Linked DNA regions of Drosophila melanogaster. The protein of the gene in region 1 interacts with the protein of each later gene in a pairwise test. Each region holds a gene or a part of one and is shown in the gene's direction. Other genes may lie near its edges.

Region 1 (5,947 bases):
TCGGACCAATTTCCCGCTGTTTTCACCCACTGATACACTTCTCCCTCCTGATTTGTATCCCCCAATCTCGACCAGCGGCGACATCAACATAAAAACCAACAGCTCGAGCGGCAGATAAATGTTTGGCTAACCCAAATCCACACACAAGGAAGGAAACTAGCGATGCCTCTCGGCTCGAGAGGCTCTCCGCTGGCAATCCAGTTTTCCAGATTTCGACCACATTTTGACCAGCGCACTGCTGCAGTGCATTGCAGCGGGAGCAGGAAGCGTTTTATGGCCAAAAGCACCAAATAGCCAGCATTTTGGGCATCACCCGAGGGGCAGAGCAGCGGCAAAAAGTTGTCTTACTTTCGTGAGCCTAAATGCATTTGGCTCTCGATGCGTCGACGCATCGACAATCCAGCTCTCTCCTTTCGATTGCATAAGTGATATTTATGTCTTCTTGTCAGCGTTGCATCAGCATCAGTTGCGAATCACAAGCGACGGTTTATCTGCACCTGGCCCAAAAGATTCTACGTCTAATTGGTCTGAATTATGCCATAAAAACATGTCCAATTAAGTTGATCTATTTTATGTCGGAGTGTGGGAAATATTCGTGTCGAATTTTATGCAAATCTCGTTACTCTTTTCCGCATACGTCGCGGAAAATGCGCAAAGAGCTTGGGAAAAGCCATTCATAAACAGGGGCCTGAAGGTCGCGATCTGTTACCTTTGCCATTTGGCAGCGCCACCTTGGGCGTGTGAGCCATTTCAGTGAGACACCTGTGAAAAGGTCAACGCTAATTGCCGTCCCCCAACCATTGGCTGCCAATTGAATTCGATTGAATTTGATTCTCTATCTGCGAGGCAGGTGAAAGTGCTTTGTTCTAGAAACAGAGTTGCAAGCCAACTAAATAACATTCAGCGGAAGTTCAAGACGCGAGTCGCGGTTGAATGATCTCCGAACGCCAAGAGATCCCGTCACATAACTTAGGCCATGAGGTGGAAACCTTCCTCGTACGTCATCAGTCCGCACATAACTCACGCCCACCTGAGGCGGCAGGTGAGGCACACGGACAGACAGGTGGGCAGGCGTTATGACAAGTTGACTGATTGGATTTGCGGCGACGATGTTGCTGCTCCTGTCAATGCACTCATCGCCCGTCGCAATTGCCGCTGGAAAATTGAAATTGAAAAAAAAATGCGATTGAAAAGCGTCCGAGCATCTCGTTTGGGTTACCCAATGCATAATGGATAATGGCGGACGCTGAACGATATGCTAATTAACTTGATTTCCACGATCCATAAACGTCTCACTTAGACAATTGTTTGCTTAACGGAAATTGTGCGGCTGCCGGCATGAGAATATTTTAATTGCCCCAAAAGAAGTTGAAAAAGACCTCTTTTTAAGGCCAATTCTAGCAGACCAAAGAAATATTTGGCAACAAGCTGAGCACAAAAATGTATTTTAAACACCAAAATATTATCTGGAAAATATTATAAAAAGATTTAAATATTTATTTCTACCTGCGCTACTTGATTGCAAACATTTCAACCACATATTTAATCCCAATTTCGCACTTTTTGTTATTATAGGTTTTATAAAGTTTGTAACCAATTTGTAACAAAAGAAATGCGGCAAAGGCCAGCGAAGAAAAAATGGTTTCTACGCGTTTTAATTGCTAAATGTCAATCGGTTTATAGGTTTCCTAACAAAACAAACAAAAATACGAGGAAACGCGTACGAGAGAAGAAAAAAAAACCAAAACAAACAATTCAATTAAACTCATAATGGAATTTGTGTAGCAAGAAAACGACCTTGGCTGCAGAGCAAAGCCTAAAAAGCCAATTAAAAGCTAGATGCACGGCTCGAATGCCACATGGCACTGAGTCAGAATTATGGAATTGTTGTTATGTCTGGCCATATAGCCGCACATATACACATATATCACATATATCAGCGAGGGGTGTAGCACGATTCATAAGACCCCCACACAGTCGGATCGATTTTCCCAGCAAATGTGGTAAAAACTTGTCGCCAGCAAAGATTGCAAAACTGGAACAGCATCGCCGCAACTAACGCTAAAACAAGTTAGCATTTATGGCCGACTTGATTTGCATTTAGTGCATTCTTGTGGACACTCCCCCTTGGCAAAACTCTATCCCCATCCCCGTTTTGTTAATTTCAATTAACCACAACAAATCATTGGAGGATCATTTTTAGCTAGGAGCTATACCGCTCTGTTTGACCAAGTCTTTTGTTGGCCCAAAAGCTGTTAAAGCCGCTTTAGTTGCGCCGTTAACGCTGACTGCGACTGCGCTGCCTACTGATCTGCTAACTGCTCGGCCAGCGTCGACTTCGACGGAGGCAGTTGGATGAAAACCACGAGCGAACCACTCTTACTTACTTTGGCCCGCGACGCTTTTCATTTCTTCAGTCTGTTAACGGCACGCCAACGATGCAGACGCGTCTAAAAACCAGCTCCGGCTAACTGTTAACGCAAGATAGTAATAACTTGATTTGTAAGTGTAACACTCATACGCATCGAGTATACGCACAGTGGTACCAACGACATTTGATTTTGCATCTTTTGCCGAAAGTGCGTGAGCTTCCTGACGTCTCAAGTGGATAAAGTCAAAGTGAATTTCAAGAAATCGAAAATATAATTAATATACAAAAATAAAAGTAAAACGCTTGAATTGCTGCTAATTTGGCGAGTTGGGCAAGTTAGGATCTTAATTAAATTAAGCCAAGTGAAAGAGAAACAACAGCTGCCGTTCAGGAAGAAGAAGAAGAAGCAATAGAGGAGAGTGGTAAGTGGGGTTTTTATTTTTTATTTATTTTATTTTTTTTTTTTTTTTGCCAAAAAAGGCGAATAGAAATTTCAGCTCTCCATTCAACTAACCACACACTCAACGCATTCGACTGTCTTGGCAATTTTGCTGTTTATTTTTTCATGCTCTAATTATTTGGAAATTTCATTTTGTTTTTGCCCACCGACACTCGTTAACTGGCATGCAATTTGTTTGCCCAAAGACTTATGGACCATACATCTAACCAAAACAACCGTCCATCCTCTAGAGAGTCAAGTTGAGTCAAGCTTTATGGGCAGACTTCCTCGTTAAAAGATAAGGTGGCCAGACCCCTGACCAAAAGAAAAGAAACTGGTCCATCAGTATTCTGTGGGTTCGTTTTGGGTTTTTCATCTACATCTCTAAGTCTATCTCCATTGCCACTTCATTAACCCAATTTTCACCTGGAGAAATTTTATGTTTCGTACAAGAAAAATCTTGTTTATCAGGCCAATTTGCATACAGACCCCACTTCCGAGGGCCAGACATTTCTCTTCCCTAATCTTCGATGTGGCATCTGATCTTTAACGGAACTAATGTGTACACTTATTCGTTTGTTTGTCATTTTAACATGAGGGCAAACAGAAGAGGGAAATCATAAATTACGCCGTAGCGTCTTATTCGTTTTATATATGTATTTCTTTATTTATATTTATGCGAACTTTGTTTTTTTTTTTATGTGCGAGCGGACAGCGTTTTCGAAATTAAATACTTTCTAATTACAATAAACGCAGGCGATGGCCGCCGGCCGGCCAATTGCCTGTCGCACGTCCAGCAAAGTCCATATCGTAGCCTTTGGCAACGGGCTGAAATCACGTAGCCGCCGCATCGGCCAATGCCAGCCGATATAAAAGAGGGATGGGTTGGCAGCGGAGTGGTGAGGGGGGAAGTGGCGAAACAAAACTCGCGAAAGTGTCAAGAAAATATAATACTGCTCAGACTCACTTTTTCTTTATTGTCATGTCTTAATGTGGCGCCTGATGTGTTTATTTGCCACTAGCCTCCTCCGCCGCCAATTCATATTCCTACCCCTCCCTCACCTTCCTCCGATGAAAGTGAAACGTGCGAATGACTTTGCGTAGCTGCAGAAGCTTCCATCACTCGTCACTTAGCACGTGCCCAGCGATCCTACCCGTGTGGTCTTCGTCTTTCACGGCTTTCAATTACTCAACCGCATAATGTTCAATTTGTCAAGCGTTGAGCCCGGATTACGACTTTCTCAGCGGGCCAAACAAAAGACTTAAGACACAAACTTGCTTCATTAGTTGGCTTTGTTCGATGGAATGCGTTGCAGATCCTAATGCGCACAAGTTTTGGTGTTGATTACTCACGAATTGAGAAATCAATGCAACCATACCTTTGTTTATATTACAACTTAAATTATCCCAGATGATTTAGCCATACCAAAGAGAATTTCAATTTCAAAGATCAATATCGAATATGCCCAGCGGTCTTTCAAAACCATAATTATCTCGCACTAGTGACACGCACTGAATTCTAAATGTGAGTAATTGCAATGCATTCAGCAATATCAGATTCAAAGTGCATTTAAGCGGAGGTAAAAACTAAAAAATCAATTCAAATGGCTTCCAGGCCGGGCATTTATTGCTGGTTCGCTGGAACTAAATCGTGATTTGCAGTTGCATGTACGGCCTCCGTAAGACCCCCTGATCCTCCTTCGGCACCCCTGGAATACCCACACAGTTGATTAGTCAGCACCCGGCTGGTAGAGCAAGGCAACCATTTGGGGCTTTTTGCTCCGTTTTGTCTCTGTGTTTTCCTTCTAGACCGACAAGTTGAAGTATCTTGGCCTACTGAATTTTTTCTCACACTCCGTGTCTTGGTCACGGATGTGGATTGATTGCTAATGTTCATCTGGGCACATATATATCTGTATATATGTATATATATCTATCTGCGGCAGGCGGTTTATGTGGATACCCTCGCCAAGTTGCCGAGTTGCACAAGTCTGGTTTGGTCTGGGCCAGAATGAGGCCCACACTCGAGACGTGGCCAACAAGTACGGGTACTTGTGGCTATACATTTGCCGAGCCACTCTTGCTTTCTTCAGCTGCTCCATTTGGCGGCTGCTTTGTTTTGTCAGCGCTTGCTTTATGGTTTTTCATATATATAGAGTAGCTACTAGCAGCTACCTTAAGTATTGCTCTGTTGCAATTGTCACATTGTTTTGGGACACTTTTCTGCGGCTCAGTGGCGACGACGACTGTGGCAATAGTTTTGTAATTAGCTTGGCCCATCATTTGCGCAATTCGATTTGCGATGTCCCAGGTGATAAGTGATATTTAAGGCACTAATTTCGCTTGTATCCGGTTATCCGGCTTTTATTACGAGTTGCGCAACCACAGCGCCCCCGCATACCAAAATGTCGAGGGAGAAATACTTTCGCTTTCAAATGCTCGAGCATAAATTCTTGGGATTACGCAAGCTAAATGCTTGCGGCATGTTTTGGTTTGCTGAGCAGGTGCCGCCAATACCAAACCAAAACCAAAAAGCCACCTCCACCAGCTAAACAGCCACTTACCTCATTTGGAAAGCAGCGAGAAATGAAAGTTTTTGTTTTTTCATTTTTCTGCGTTGCGTGAAATTTACATTTCGTTTAATAATTTCAAACATTTCTTCGAGGTCGCTGTGGCATAAAATTTGAGGAATTAGTCGAACAAGAAATCAGCGTTTTTCCGTCCGTTTTCCTTCTGGTATCGAGTGGCTCTTTCCGGCAGGCCTGGCTAGCAACGCCCCCTAGCAATAGCAGCCATCAGACAGAAAAGTGCATTTCATTGTCGCTTTCGTTTCGGATTTGTATTTCTCTGCATTTTCTGTTTGGCGACGAGTTCATTGGCTTTGCATAATTTATGCGTTCGGCGGCCCAGCAGCAAAAACAATATGCATGCAGTATATGGTGGCCATCAATCCTAGACTTATCGTTAGCCAGTCACGCTAATTGGCCATAACTGTAACTGAAAGATCAGCGATTTCAGCACCCGAGCGATACAATCAGTCAATATTTAATGTGCGAGTTGTGCAAGTTTTTTGGCGGACAGTTGGCACAGTTTCAATTGATTTGCCAATAGTGATTCACATGGGTCACGCACATTCT
Region 2 (5,840 bases), 6.8 Mb from region 1:
AGCCATTACTCGGCTATGCACCTTTTCGCCAATATGTACGTGATGCACAGCTTTGCCAACGCTGCGGCTGTATCGTTGGGTAAAGAGCAATTCTTAGCGGTCTACCTCAGCGCCGGCGTCTTCTCCAGTCTGATGAGCGTGCTCTACAAGGCGGCCACGAGTCAGGCGGGGATGTCCCTGGGTGCGGTAAGACAGCCTTTATTCCACGTAGTATCTATAAACTTAAAGCTCTTCCCTTAGTCTGGAGCTATAATGACACTGCTGGCCTATGTATGCACCCAGTATCCGGACACACAACTTAGCATTCTCTTTCTACCCGCGTTGACATTCTCCGCTGGAGCTGGTATTAAAGTGCTAATGGGCATCGACTTTGCTGGCGTCGTGATGGGCTGGAAGTTCTTCGATCACGCAGCGCATTTGGGCGGCGCCATGTTTGGCATGTAAGTTTGGCGTGTATGTTTATACCATCACAGGTTGTCTTATTAATCCTACGGTAATTTACAGCTTTTGGGCCACGTATGGGGCACAGATATGGGCAAAGCGCATTGGTCTACTGAATTACTACCATGACCTGCGCCGGACGAAGCAGAAATAGTACAGGAGGCTTGGGGATTCGCCAAGTGAACGGACGGGGAGCTGAGGCAATAGAGCGGTAGCGAGTAGCACTACGCTGTGTCAATAAGAGTGACATCGTTCTGCCTTAGAAGTTCATTGAAATCAGTTAAGTTGAATAAATCGTTGACATCCTGTACTCATGTGGTTTCCCGGCTCTTTTTTGGAACTTGTGTTTGATCCTTCTGATTTCTTCGAATACGAAAAGCTACTTCGTGCCTGCGCTGCTGAATCTTCTCCCTAAGTTCCTCAAGGGATTCTCGTTCTGGAGCGTATGATATGTGCAAGATTCCACCATAGAACTGATGAGCATCGAGCATTTTCTTGGCTCTTCTCGCCACCTCAAGGCGCTCGAACTTCACGGCAAACACATCTGTAAAAGCTTCCAGATCCACTGAAACAAAAGGAACACTATATAAAAAAGATCTTGAACAGGGATAATCATACTTTTTGAAGCCATCTCTGAAGTTACCGAAATACATGATTGCACTTTACCAAATCCTTGTAGTTTCGTCCTGAGATTAGCTTGAAGATTTATTTTAGGTACCCCAAAGATCAGCAAATGACGGGACTCACTAGCAACTGTATAAACCTACAAAGGATAAAAAACACAATAAAAGTACAATAAAACATTGCTATTACTATAAAGCTATTACTAAACTATTACTACTAAACATTACTATTTCCCCACCTTGACAGCTTTCAATTCGCGGCCCTGACGGTATTTCAATCTTGTAGTGCAGTATTCCAGACGTTTGTGGTGTTCAGAAGAAGAGGCTTCCATATTCAGGATATTAAAAACAAAACTACAACTAAACGGATTTGTTTATTATTATTTTCAAGTCCACGATTAAACGTACTTATCGATAAATATCAACAGCCAGCTGTTATGTTATTGTACTGTTATTTACATGATTCGCTGTAATGGAATTCATTCAAAGTTGTTGAATTGAGTATGTTAGCACCTGTTGCATTTCCAAATAATTCGAGATTTCCAAAAAAAAAATTAATTTTAAGTCAATGTCCTTGGAAAAAAATTTTAACTTTGTTTCACCTTGATTTTTTATCTAATTGTAGCAAGAGGACCAAATTTTTTCACTCAAAACTAATTAAGTGGCGTTTCATCAGCTGTTTTCTGGATTAGTCTAGGGTTGTCTCATTGCATGAAATATCGATGATAAAAAAATTTCAAAATTTATTTAGTATTTGAAACTATTAATATTAATATTTTTCAAGTGACAAGCTGGGAAGCTAAACATAAAATTGTGCAGTAAGGATTCGATTTATGGTTTAAGAAAAGAAAACTACCACCCCATAATTGCATTAGATTTACCCTAAATTTATAAAAAGTGAATTGACGCACTCGACAGCCCTGATTTTCCCATAGTTTTCCCATCACCAAAAATGGCGGCAAATCGAAACAGTTTGCCGCCCGGCATAAAACCCAATGTAGCTGTATTTCCCAGATCATTTGCCACACAACTTTCAAACTGTACACTTAATACACGTCGTGGTTTAAGTGAATTTTACCAGAGAATCAGAGAAGCGCCCCTACCTGCTAATAATAATCCATTCAAAAACATCTCAAATGGCGTCCAAGGAAAACATTGCTGACAACATGGAGAAGTTCTCGCTTAAGGTAATCGACACGCAAATAAAGTTCACAGCTATACATAGACGTAATACCGCGATCAGTGCGCTTGTGTTGATTTCCCTAGGGAAAAGTGCTACGCAGCGGAAAAATACTCATGCTTTAGTTGGCCTTCTTTGTTTTTCGTTGTTAACAGAGCCCGAGCAAGAAGATTCTGACGGATAGCACCAACAACGTTCGCAAGATGTCCATTGGACACGAGGCAAACGGACAGTTGGCCAAGGAGTCCTCCACCGTGAATGGCATCGGCAAGTCTGCCAATTCCCTCATGGAGAAGTCCGTAACCCCCTTCGACCCGTCGCTGGAGCCCCTTCTGCGCGAGAATCCCCGACGCTTCGTCATCTTTCCCATCCAGTACCACGACATCTGGCAGATGTACAAGAAGGTGTGTATACCATACATATAGCAAAACACTGTCCATTTGCATTGGTGGTGAAAATCTATTTTTTGGGCGGCAAAATATCAAAAGGGCGGGCATTTCGAGATAAAGCGCGCCAAAAGCCGGTCACGTACTCAACGTGGTTGATTACACGAATCAGACTTTATGATAGCTTCGTTTGGTTAAACAACCCCCTCCCACATTTCTCGACCCTCCCTTTCCGCTGATTCACTGCATCACGGTTTACTCAATGTCAACAATAGCCTTCGTTTTTGGCGGGAAATGCAGCACATAACGATCACATACTATACCATTTTATGTAGCCAATTACATTTCCCCGCCGCTTTTAATTGCTTTGTAGTAACTTTGTTTACATTTTAATTGCATTTTAATTGATAAGCTCGTTGTGCACGATGACATTTCTTGAAAACTTGTTAAAGTGGAAAATGAAAAATAATAAATTTATACAGTAATTATCTCTTTTAAAATTGTAACTTTTTTTTTTAATGTGCAGGCTGAGGCTTCTTTCTGGACTGTCGAGGAGGTGGATTTGTCCAAGGACCTTACTGATTGGCACCGCCTGAAGGACGACGAGCGCCATTTCATCTCGCACGTGCTTGCCTTCTTCGCCGCCTCCGACGGCATCGTAAACGAGAACCTGGTGGAGCGCTTCAGTCAGGAGGTGCAGATCACGGAGGCACGTTGCTTCTACGGCTTTCAGATCGCCATGGAGAACGTGCACTCGGAGATGTACAGTGTTTTGATCGACACTTACATCCGTGATCCACACCAGCGAGAGTACCTGTTTAACGCTATCGAAACGATGCCGGCTGTGAAGCGCAAGGCAGACTGGGCCCTGTCCTGGATCTCCTCCAAATCGGCCAACTTCGGGGAACGCATCATCGCCTTTGCCGCCGTGGAGGGCATCTTCTTCAGCGGCAGCTTCGCTTCCATTTTCTGGCTTAAGAAGCGAGGTCTGATGCCTGGATTGACCTTCTCCAACGAGCTTATCTCTCGCGACGAGGGCTTGCACTGCGACTTTGCCGTGCTGATGTTCCAACACCTGGTGCAGCGACCCAAGCGCGAGCGCATCATCGAGATCATCCGCGACGCGGTGGCCATTGAGCAGGAGTTCCTTACCGATGCCCTGCCCGTCAATTTGATTGGCATGAATTGCGACCTGATGTCCCAGTACATTGAGTTCGTAGCGGACCGTTTGCTCGTGGAGTTGGGCGTTGGAAAGATCTACAACACCAAAAACCCCTTTAACTTCATGGAGATGATATCGCTGGATGGAAAGACCAACTTTTTTGAGAAGAAGGTGGGGGAGTACCAGCGCATGGGAGTGGTCAGCAACCCCCTGGACAACGTGTTCACCCTGGACGCGGATTTCTAGGGCTGGCCCCGGACATCATTGTTGCAATTTAAACCTCTCAAGGGCTGGCTTCTCATCCTTTATATTTTAATCTGACGGCAATTATATGTAGTCCGTTTTAATTTTAACATAGGCTAAGAACAATCACAGACCTTCAACACATTCACCTAATCATTTACTTGGACCTCCAATTACGTTTATAATACTATCTACACACTTGACTTTTACGAGGAGCGTACCTTTTCCGAATTCATTGTACATACAACATTTTAAATAAATTTATACATAGACAATTATTAAGCACTACAAGTAAAATTGAGTTTTAATTATTCTGAAAAAAATCTTCAAAAATTACTGTTTATGCACGATTATATAATAAGAAAATCAATTTCAAAAAAATTTATAAAAAGGATTGGGAAAATTTAAGAATTTAAATAATTCGAATTTCAAATTTTCGATTTCAGTTATATATATGGTAGGTAAACTTATCGATAGTCACGGGCATTTTTACTATCAGCTGTGCTGAACAATCCCATTCGCTGTTTTTATCAATTTGGATAAAATTCTTGTTATTCAGTTATTACCATAAAAAGTATTAGATGTCAATAACAGGAGTGGGCGATTAAATCAACCCAATTCAGCTAGGCGCCCTAATAGTTGATAAAATGCGAACAGTGCATTAAATTGTAGGCGGAGGACCAGTGGCGATAAGTGAATCCAGTCACATGGACAGAAGGTGGAATCCAGAAAAAATCGAGGAGCAGAGCTCCCTCTTGGCAGCGGAATATTCCTCCAGCTCGGGAGCAGCTGCTTCCGGATCCGAGGACGAGACGGTCACCACTAGTGGAGCGCTACGCAGCAAAGCAAAGCTGAGGAAGCGGCAGCTAAGAAATCGCATGCCGCTTCCCAGGATGTTAAGACGCCTTGGCTGCTACACGCTGAGCGCCTTCCTAATCTGTGGGCTGCTCCTCGTCTACCTGCCGCTCGTCTACTTGGATGTACACAAGCGTAGTGGTAGGACAATGGTTTTCTTGATACCCGCATTTATTTTAAAAATGATCCATTGACGCTTTCACAGCTGGTCTGCCGGATTGGACGTCAGAGACCTCCCGCAGCATAGCTGACTACCTGGATATCGGGCTCAGTTCTGGCGTCATTGTTCCCAAGGACTTTTGCCGGAATAAGACCTTCCTGGTAATCGCCGTATGCACCGGCGTGGACAACTTCATTCAGCGACATACCATCCGTGAGACCTGGGGCAATACCACCGAGTTCAACTACCCAGCGTTTGGAAAGCTCCATGGTCATCTCAAGGGTCACTACCTGCCGCCACTGCCGGATCGCTTAAAGATGTACGGGGATTATTTGAGCGGCGAGGGGCAGTCTCTGACTGCCTCAGTGCGCATTGTTTTCATTGTAGGCCGCCAGAAAGATGAGGCCATGTTGGGCAATGAGACCCTGAATCGCATTCACATTGAATCGGAAAAGTACAACGACATCATTCAGGAGAACTTCGTGGATAGCTACAACAACCTGACGCTTAAGTCTGTGATGGCTCTAAAGCACATTAGCCGCAGTTGCTTTAATACCGCGGTCTACTTCCTCAAGTGCGACGACGATACCTTCGTAAATATACCCAATTTGCTGAACTTTCTGCTCGGAGGAACTATACCGTTGTACAATGATACCCTAGATTACCACGACCGGTCCACCTATTTAGTCACTGCACCGCAAACCCGATTGAAAGCCAGCAGCGATGTGTTGTACGGCCATCAGTTTTGCAACGTGGTGCCGGTTAGCGAAGTAAGCAGCAAGTGGTACAT
Region 3 (6,028 bases), 6.5 Mb from region 1:
AGGAGATGCAACATCTTTACACTAGCCACCATCGAGAGGGTTTTCAGATATGGTGAGACATTTACCAGAATGGTCAGCAGACAATCGAAAAGCGGCTGCAGCCTCTGGTGGCCAGTGGCTATTATTTTGTGGAACACAGTGATGAGTAAGTCCGCATGGGTTCCAGTAAACACAGGTATATCCATGGGCACCGTGGCGGAGTATGCTTTGTTAAGCCGAACCCCAAAGTTTCGCTCACCTATCAATAAACATTTATTTAAGTGTAAGTGCACTGATTCCACGAACAAAACATATGACATATGACTCACCCGATAGGAGCAACAGTATGAATACTCCAATATGCATCAAGCCCACTCGAGATTGATCCGCTCGGGAGTAGTTTAGGTGATACAGAATGGGAATCAGGATGTCCAGAACATCGGAGCTCTTTAGCACAAAATACAGAAACTTTTTGTTGTAGTCGCATATTTTCCAAAACAAAATAAGCAGCTCCTGGTGGCAATGAAGTCGCTTTGTGGAATTGGGCAAATAGTTCTGGACCAGTGGGTTGTTCAGCAGCCTGGTTATGCCCTTGAGCACAAAGTGAAAGTCCTCGTCGCGGTGAACCCTCGAAAGATAGTTAATGAACAAGTTGTCGCCGCAATTGCCCTCGTCGTAGGACGCCTGTCCGGGTTGTGTGAGTTGCTGCTGCACCACCATATCGTGATCCAAGGTGACAATGAGCAGTTGAAGGCACGCTTCCACCAGGGGCTCTGTGGTGTCTGCAAACAGCAGGTGATTGTAGGGCACGCCGAAGCCCACCGGATCGTAGGAGCACACGGTGTTCAGAAACGAGGTGAACAGCGGCAGGGCATGGCGATTGTCGGCCGAGGTGAAATATGCTATCCACTTGTTGGGCTCCTCGGACTGCTGCGGCGATCGGTACATGGGCTCCGAGAAGCAGGTGAGTAATAGCTTCAGCAACTCCGTGCGCCTGCGCTCCATGTGGGCGTTGTGGGGCGGTGACTGGGCGAAACCCACGCCCGCTTCCCAAATGTACTCGCAGCTATCGATGTTCGCCAACTCCTCGGCCTTCTCGGGGCCCGCACGCCGCGTGGCCGTAACCGTGAAGTCGGGACAGAAAAGAAGGTCGCAGGTGGCATTGAGCAGTGACTGAGCCAACGGCATGGTCTTGTCCTGCGATGGCAGGCTGCTCCAGAAGAAGTCGCGCCACTTTTCGTCCTCGAAAATGTACGGCAGACACCGGACGAGCAGCCGCACGCAGTTCAAAACGCACTGCTGCTCCGCCTGCGTGCGACAACTGCTGTCTACCGCCTGGGCAAGCTTTTCCACCGCCTTGTAGCATAAGGTGGCCAGGTTGGCTGGATTCTCGTTCCGTATCTGGCGAATCTCGCTCGAGGTGACCAGCGCGAACACATCCTCCAGCGTCGTCTGGTGGCCCTGCCAGAACTGCTCCCAGAACTGCTCGTCGCTGGGGTCGATCTTCTGGTTCTTCTGCGTCAGCTGCACAATCGCCTTGCGAAAGTTCAACTTGGAGTCCGTGTTTCCCATATTGTTCGGCCTGTGGGCTGCTTTGGTATCGCTGAGTCCTGTAAATCCACCTGCCCCGTGCTCGATCGCCTCAGTGCAAGTGTGCGCAGTAGTCTGGAACAGGAATGCTTTGCATTTAATGCGATTCTTTTTCAAAAATCGAACGATTCCAATTAGAAATTCGCCTACGCACCAAATGCCAGTGTAACTTAGTGGTGGGTGTAACGCTCACGACTGAAGATGCGTGCGTGACTGATTATGCTCACCTGTTTTGGCCCTCATATTCAAATATCAATTTGATTAAATCAATTTGATCGACAGCTTGGCAACATATTTTATTTTAAAAACAAGGTTATATTTTTTTTATATACGCTTGCAGCTGTATTTCAATTTAATCTATTGAAATTTCCGCATCGAGTTGGCATCTACAGCTGTGCCAGTGCTGCGAAGCGACGAACTGCCGCGCCGGTGTTGGAAGACGCTTGTGCAAAATATTCGGACTGCACACAAGAACATAAACGACACGTAAACGTCACCAAAAATTAGCAGCTTACCAGTTCGATTAGTTAGGATTAGTGAGAGATGCCCAACTAGGCAGCACGCCCAGATTCGTCCAGGCAGCGTGAGTGTGCGAGTGGGCAAGTGGCGAGTGCCAAAACATATGCGAAGGTCGTCGGGAAGGGAGGAGGAGCTGCCCTGCCCCACGAAAACTGCAATTTTCAGCGCTAGCCCTGGAACTGGAAGCCAACTAGCTGCAGTCGTAGAGACACCGCAACGGAGGACACGCGGACACCATGGCGCTTCCAGGCAACGGCATCTACGTGGTGCGGGGCGAAATGGCCACCCTGATGACGGCGATGCGACGTGGAACGCGTTGGAATGCCACCGCCTACGTGGTAAATAGTGCCCCTAATGCTCACTGCGAATAGAAAGTATATGGCCCTTTTGCACATCCACAGGACGACGAGAATGACTCGCTGCTGAAGCTGTTCATTGACCTCAAGCATGAGCTAAATCGGATCGAGGACCTGCGTCAGATCGAGCCTCAGGTCTTCCTGGCTCCGTTTCTTGAGGTGATTCGCACGGCGGACGCCACGGGTCCGTTGACTAGTCTAGCCTTGGCCTCGGTTAACAAATTATTGTCTTACGGGCTAATAGGTATTATGATTTAGTGCTTACCCTCTGCATTTGCTCATTCTGTACCTATCCACAGATCCCACGTCTCCAAATCTGGCTGACATTGTGGAGCGCATTGCCGATGCTGTGACACATGCCCGCTTTATGGGCACCGATCAGTCCTCGGATGGTGTCACCTTTATGCGAGTGATTGAGGTGCTGCACACGCTTATCCGCAGTCCCGAAGGAGCCGCCGTCAGCAATGTGTCCATGTGCGAGGTGATGCTCAGCTGCTTCAAGATCTCCTTCGAGCCGAGGCTGAGTGAACTGCTTCGTCGCTCGGCGGAAAAATCGCTCAAGGACATGGTGCTGCTCTTCTTCATGCGCCTTCCCCAGTTCGCCGAAGAGCGAAGTGACACCATGCTCCAGAAGCGATTTACTATCGGCGATGCTGCCAGCGGAGCTACCCAAGAAAAACTAAAGCGTAAGACGGTTGCCCAAGCCCAGACAGCACCCAGGAAATCGTCAGCAGTGGAGGAACCGCCTCAAACACCGCAGTCTGCCAACCTGACGGTGCCAGGGCACTTGAAGGCACCCATATTGGCCACCACACCCGCCAGTCCAGCGGGAAACATATTGGACATGCAGGGCAAGATTACGCAGACACCAACAACAACGGCGAGCACGGGGGAAGATGAAACCACTGTCCCGGAGACTCCTGTTATTCAAGTGGAGTCGACTGAATCGGAGCCCTTGCTGGACGGCGAAACGGGTGAAGCAACCAGCACCCTGGCCGAGGCAAATAGTAGCGAGTACATCAACTCGGTGGGCGTCCGTTTTACACAGCAGTCCACCGATCACGATGTAACATCACTATCCCCTTATGGCCTGCCCTTCATCCAGGAGTTGTTCCGATTCCTCATAATCCTCTGCAATCCTCTGGATAAGCAGAACTCGGATAGCATGATGCACACGGGTCTTAGTCTACTTACTGTAGCTTTTGAAGTCGCAGCCGATAATATTGGAAAGTATGAGGGCTTGCTGGAGCTGGTTAAGGACGACTTATGCAGAAACTTAATATCGGTAAGGGACTCTTAATTGCTTCGTTAGTTATTTCTGACCTAACTCTTTCCTTTCCCTACAGCTTCTCAGCTCAGAGCGGCTTAGCATCTTTGCCGCCGATTTGCAGCTCTGTTTTTTGCTTTTCGAGTCTCTCCGCGGACATCTCAAGTTTCAGCTGGAAGCCTACCTTAGAAAATTGAGCGAGATTATTGCTAGCGATAATCCCAAGACGCCCTACGAAATGCGAGAACTCGCTCTGGACAATCTACTGCAGTTGTGGCGCATTCCCGGCTTCGTCACGGAATTGTATATCAACTACGATTGTGACTTGTACTGCACGGATATGTTTGAAAGTTTGACAAACCTACTGAGCAAGTATACGCTGTCAGCAACGAATGCAGTTTATAGCACCCACATTATCTCAATGGACACCCTGTTAAGTGTGATAGACAGTATCGAGCGAAATTGTGCCGCGAGCAAGAATAGCAGCAACAACAGAGAGTCCTTGCCAGAAGCTGCCCCAGCAACAGGTGGCAGCCGCCATTCTCGCCACAACAGCGGATTGGAGGGAATCGTAATTGATTCTGGCAATAGTGTAGCTGCAGAAGAGAAAGTGGAGAACATCGCAAGCTTTATAAATGCGAGCTCACATCGACTACGACTACAATCTGGCGGAGAGGGAGTGGGAATAACCAGTGAACAGCTGGCCAAGGTCAAACAGAAGAAGCGTCTGCTATCCCAAGGCACAGAGCGATTTAATCAGCGTCCAGAGAAAGGAATCCAGTATCTGCAAGAACACGGCATCCTAAATGCCGAGCTTGATCCCATGCAGGTGGCCCTGTTCCTTCGAGAAAATCCCGGGCTCGATAAAAAAATGATTGGCGAATATATCTCGAAAAAGAAAAACGTCGACTCTAAGATTCTAATTAATTTTGTGGACTCGTTTGATTTCACTGGTCTTCGAGTGGATCAAGCATTGCGTCTTTATCTGGAGACCTTCAGATTGCCCGGAGAGGCTCCATTGATCTTTTTGGTGCTGGAACACTTTTCTGATCATTGGCATGTGAGTATACACATCTACTAAAATACTTGCAGTCTCTGATATTAATCATGTATGTATCCCACCAATATAGAAACAAAACCAAGATCCGTTTGCCAACGTAGACGCTGCTTTTCGCTTGGCCTATGCCATCATCATGCTGAACATGGATCAGCACAACTCGAACGCGAAGCGTTTAAATGTTCCAATGACGCTCGAGGACTTCACTAAGAATTTGCGTGGTCTAAACGGTGGCGAAGATTTCGATCAAGAAATGCTGGCTCAAGTCTTTAATGCAATCAAGTAAGCTTTAGTACATATAGCGTCACTCTCATTTGCTTATATTTCCGATTATTAATTATTTAAGGAACGAAGAGATCGTTATGCCAGCAGAGCAAACGGGTCTGGTGCGTGAAAATTATCAATGGAAAGTACTGCTTCGACGAGGAGACACGCACGATGGACATTTTCACTATGTGCATGACGCATCATACGACGTGGAGATCTTCAATATTGTGTGGGGTGCTTCTCTGAGCGCCCTAAGCTTTATGTTTGATAAAAGCACTGAAACGGGCTACCAAAGAACTCTAGCAGGTACGTACATAAACATCTAATAATTACCATTCACATCTCACATTACGATTACATTTCAGGTTTCAGCAAATCCGCTGCCATATCGGCGCACTATAATCTGCATTCGGACTTCGATGCCCTCGTTTTAACTCTCTGCAAATTCACAACGCTGCTGAGCAGCGTAGAACAGCATGAGCCCGCTCCGGCGAACAATGAAACCCAGCAAGCTGTGAACTTTGGATTGAACGGAAAGGCTCAGGCTGCCATGCGAACGGTGTTTCTATTGGTTCACGACTACGGCGATTGCTTAAGAGAGAGCTGGAAACACATTTTGGACCTATATCTGCAGCTTTTCCGTCTAAAGTTGCTGCCAAAATCATTGATCGAAGTGGAAGACTTTTGTGAGGCGAACGGAAAGGCCATGTTAATCCTGGAAAAGCCCCGCGAGAAGCAGGAATCGGGACTATTTTCCAGCCTGTACTCATTTATCAGCTCGGAGGGTCAGCGAGAACCAACGTACGAGGAGCAGGACTTCATCAAACTGGGACGGAAGTGCATTAAGGAGTGCCAGCTGGATCAAATGCTGCAGGAATCAAAGTTTGTGCAACTAGAGTCGCTGCAGGAGTTGCTTAAATGCGTTCTAGCGCTACTGAAGGCTCCTCAGGGGCACAAATCCATTGGCCTGCCGTACGCCGAAGATCAAACTGT

The links. Proteins that work in one complex are often made in the same cells at the same time.
Region 2: the proteins of CG15080 (region 1) and RnrS interact in a two-hybrid assay, tested with the Drosophila melanogaster proteins (one large-scale study listed by BioGRID).
Region 3: the proteins of CG15080 (region 1) and garz interact in a two-hybrid assay, tested with the Drosophila melanogaster proteins (one large-scale study listed by BioGRID).

The regions. Positions count from the first base shown.
Region 1 is NT_033778.4:18,780,886-18,786,832, forward strand, and holds the start of CG15080 (uncharacterized protein), read left to right. Parts: upstream 1-2,413; 5' UTR 2,414-2,793; intron 2,794-5,947.
Region 2 is NT_033778.4:11,981,627-11,987,466, reverse strand, and holds RnrS (ribonucleoside diphosphate reductase small subunit), read left to right. Parts: upstream 1-2,073; 5' UTR 2,074-2,200; coding exon 2,201-2,251; intron 2,252-2,399; coding exon 2,400-2,648; intron 2,649-3,156; coding exon 3,157-4,038; 3' UTR 4,039-4,322; downstream 4,323-5,840. Other genes in the region: rho-7 (rhomboid-7), read left to right, coding at 1-186, 241-440, 505-595; CG34231 (uncharacterized protein), read right to left, coding at 753-1,006, 1,060-1,204, 1,304-1,396; GalT1 (beta1,3-galactosyltransferase 1), read left to right, coding at 4,743-5,031, 5,096-5,840. UniProt on the Drosophila melanogaster protein: Provides the precursors necessary for DNA synthesis. Catalyzes the biosynthesis of deoxyribonucleotides from the corresponding ribonucleotides.
Region 3 is NT_033778.4:12,324,350-12,330,377, forward strand, and holds the start of garz (gartenzwerg), read left to right. Parts: upstream 1-2,010; 5' UTR 2,011-2,324; coding exon 2,325-2,426; intron 2,427-2,489; coding exon 2,490-2,688; intron 2,689-2,743; coding exon 2,744-3,729; intron 3,730-3,790; coding exon 3,791-4,771; intron 4,772-4,841; coding exon 4,842-5,050; intron 5,051-5,114; coding exon 5,115-5,341; intron 5,342-5,400; coding exon 5,401-6,028. Other genes in the region: CG8841 (uncharacterized protein), read right to left, coding at 1-238, 309-1,551.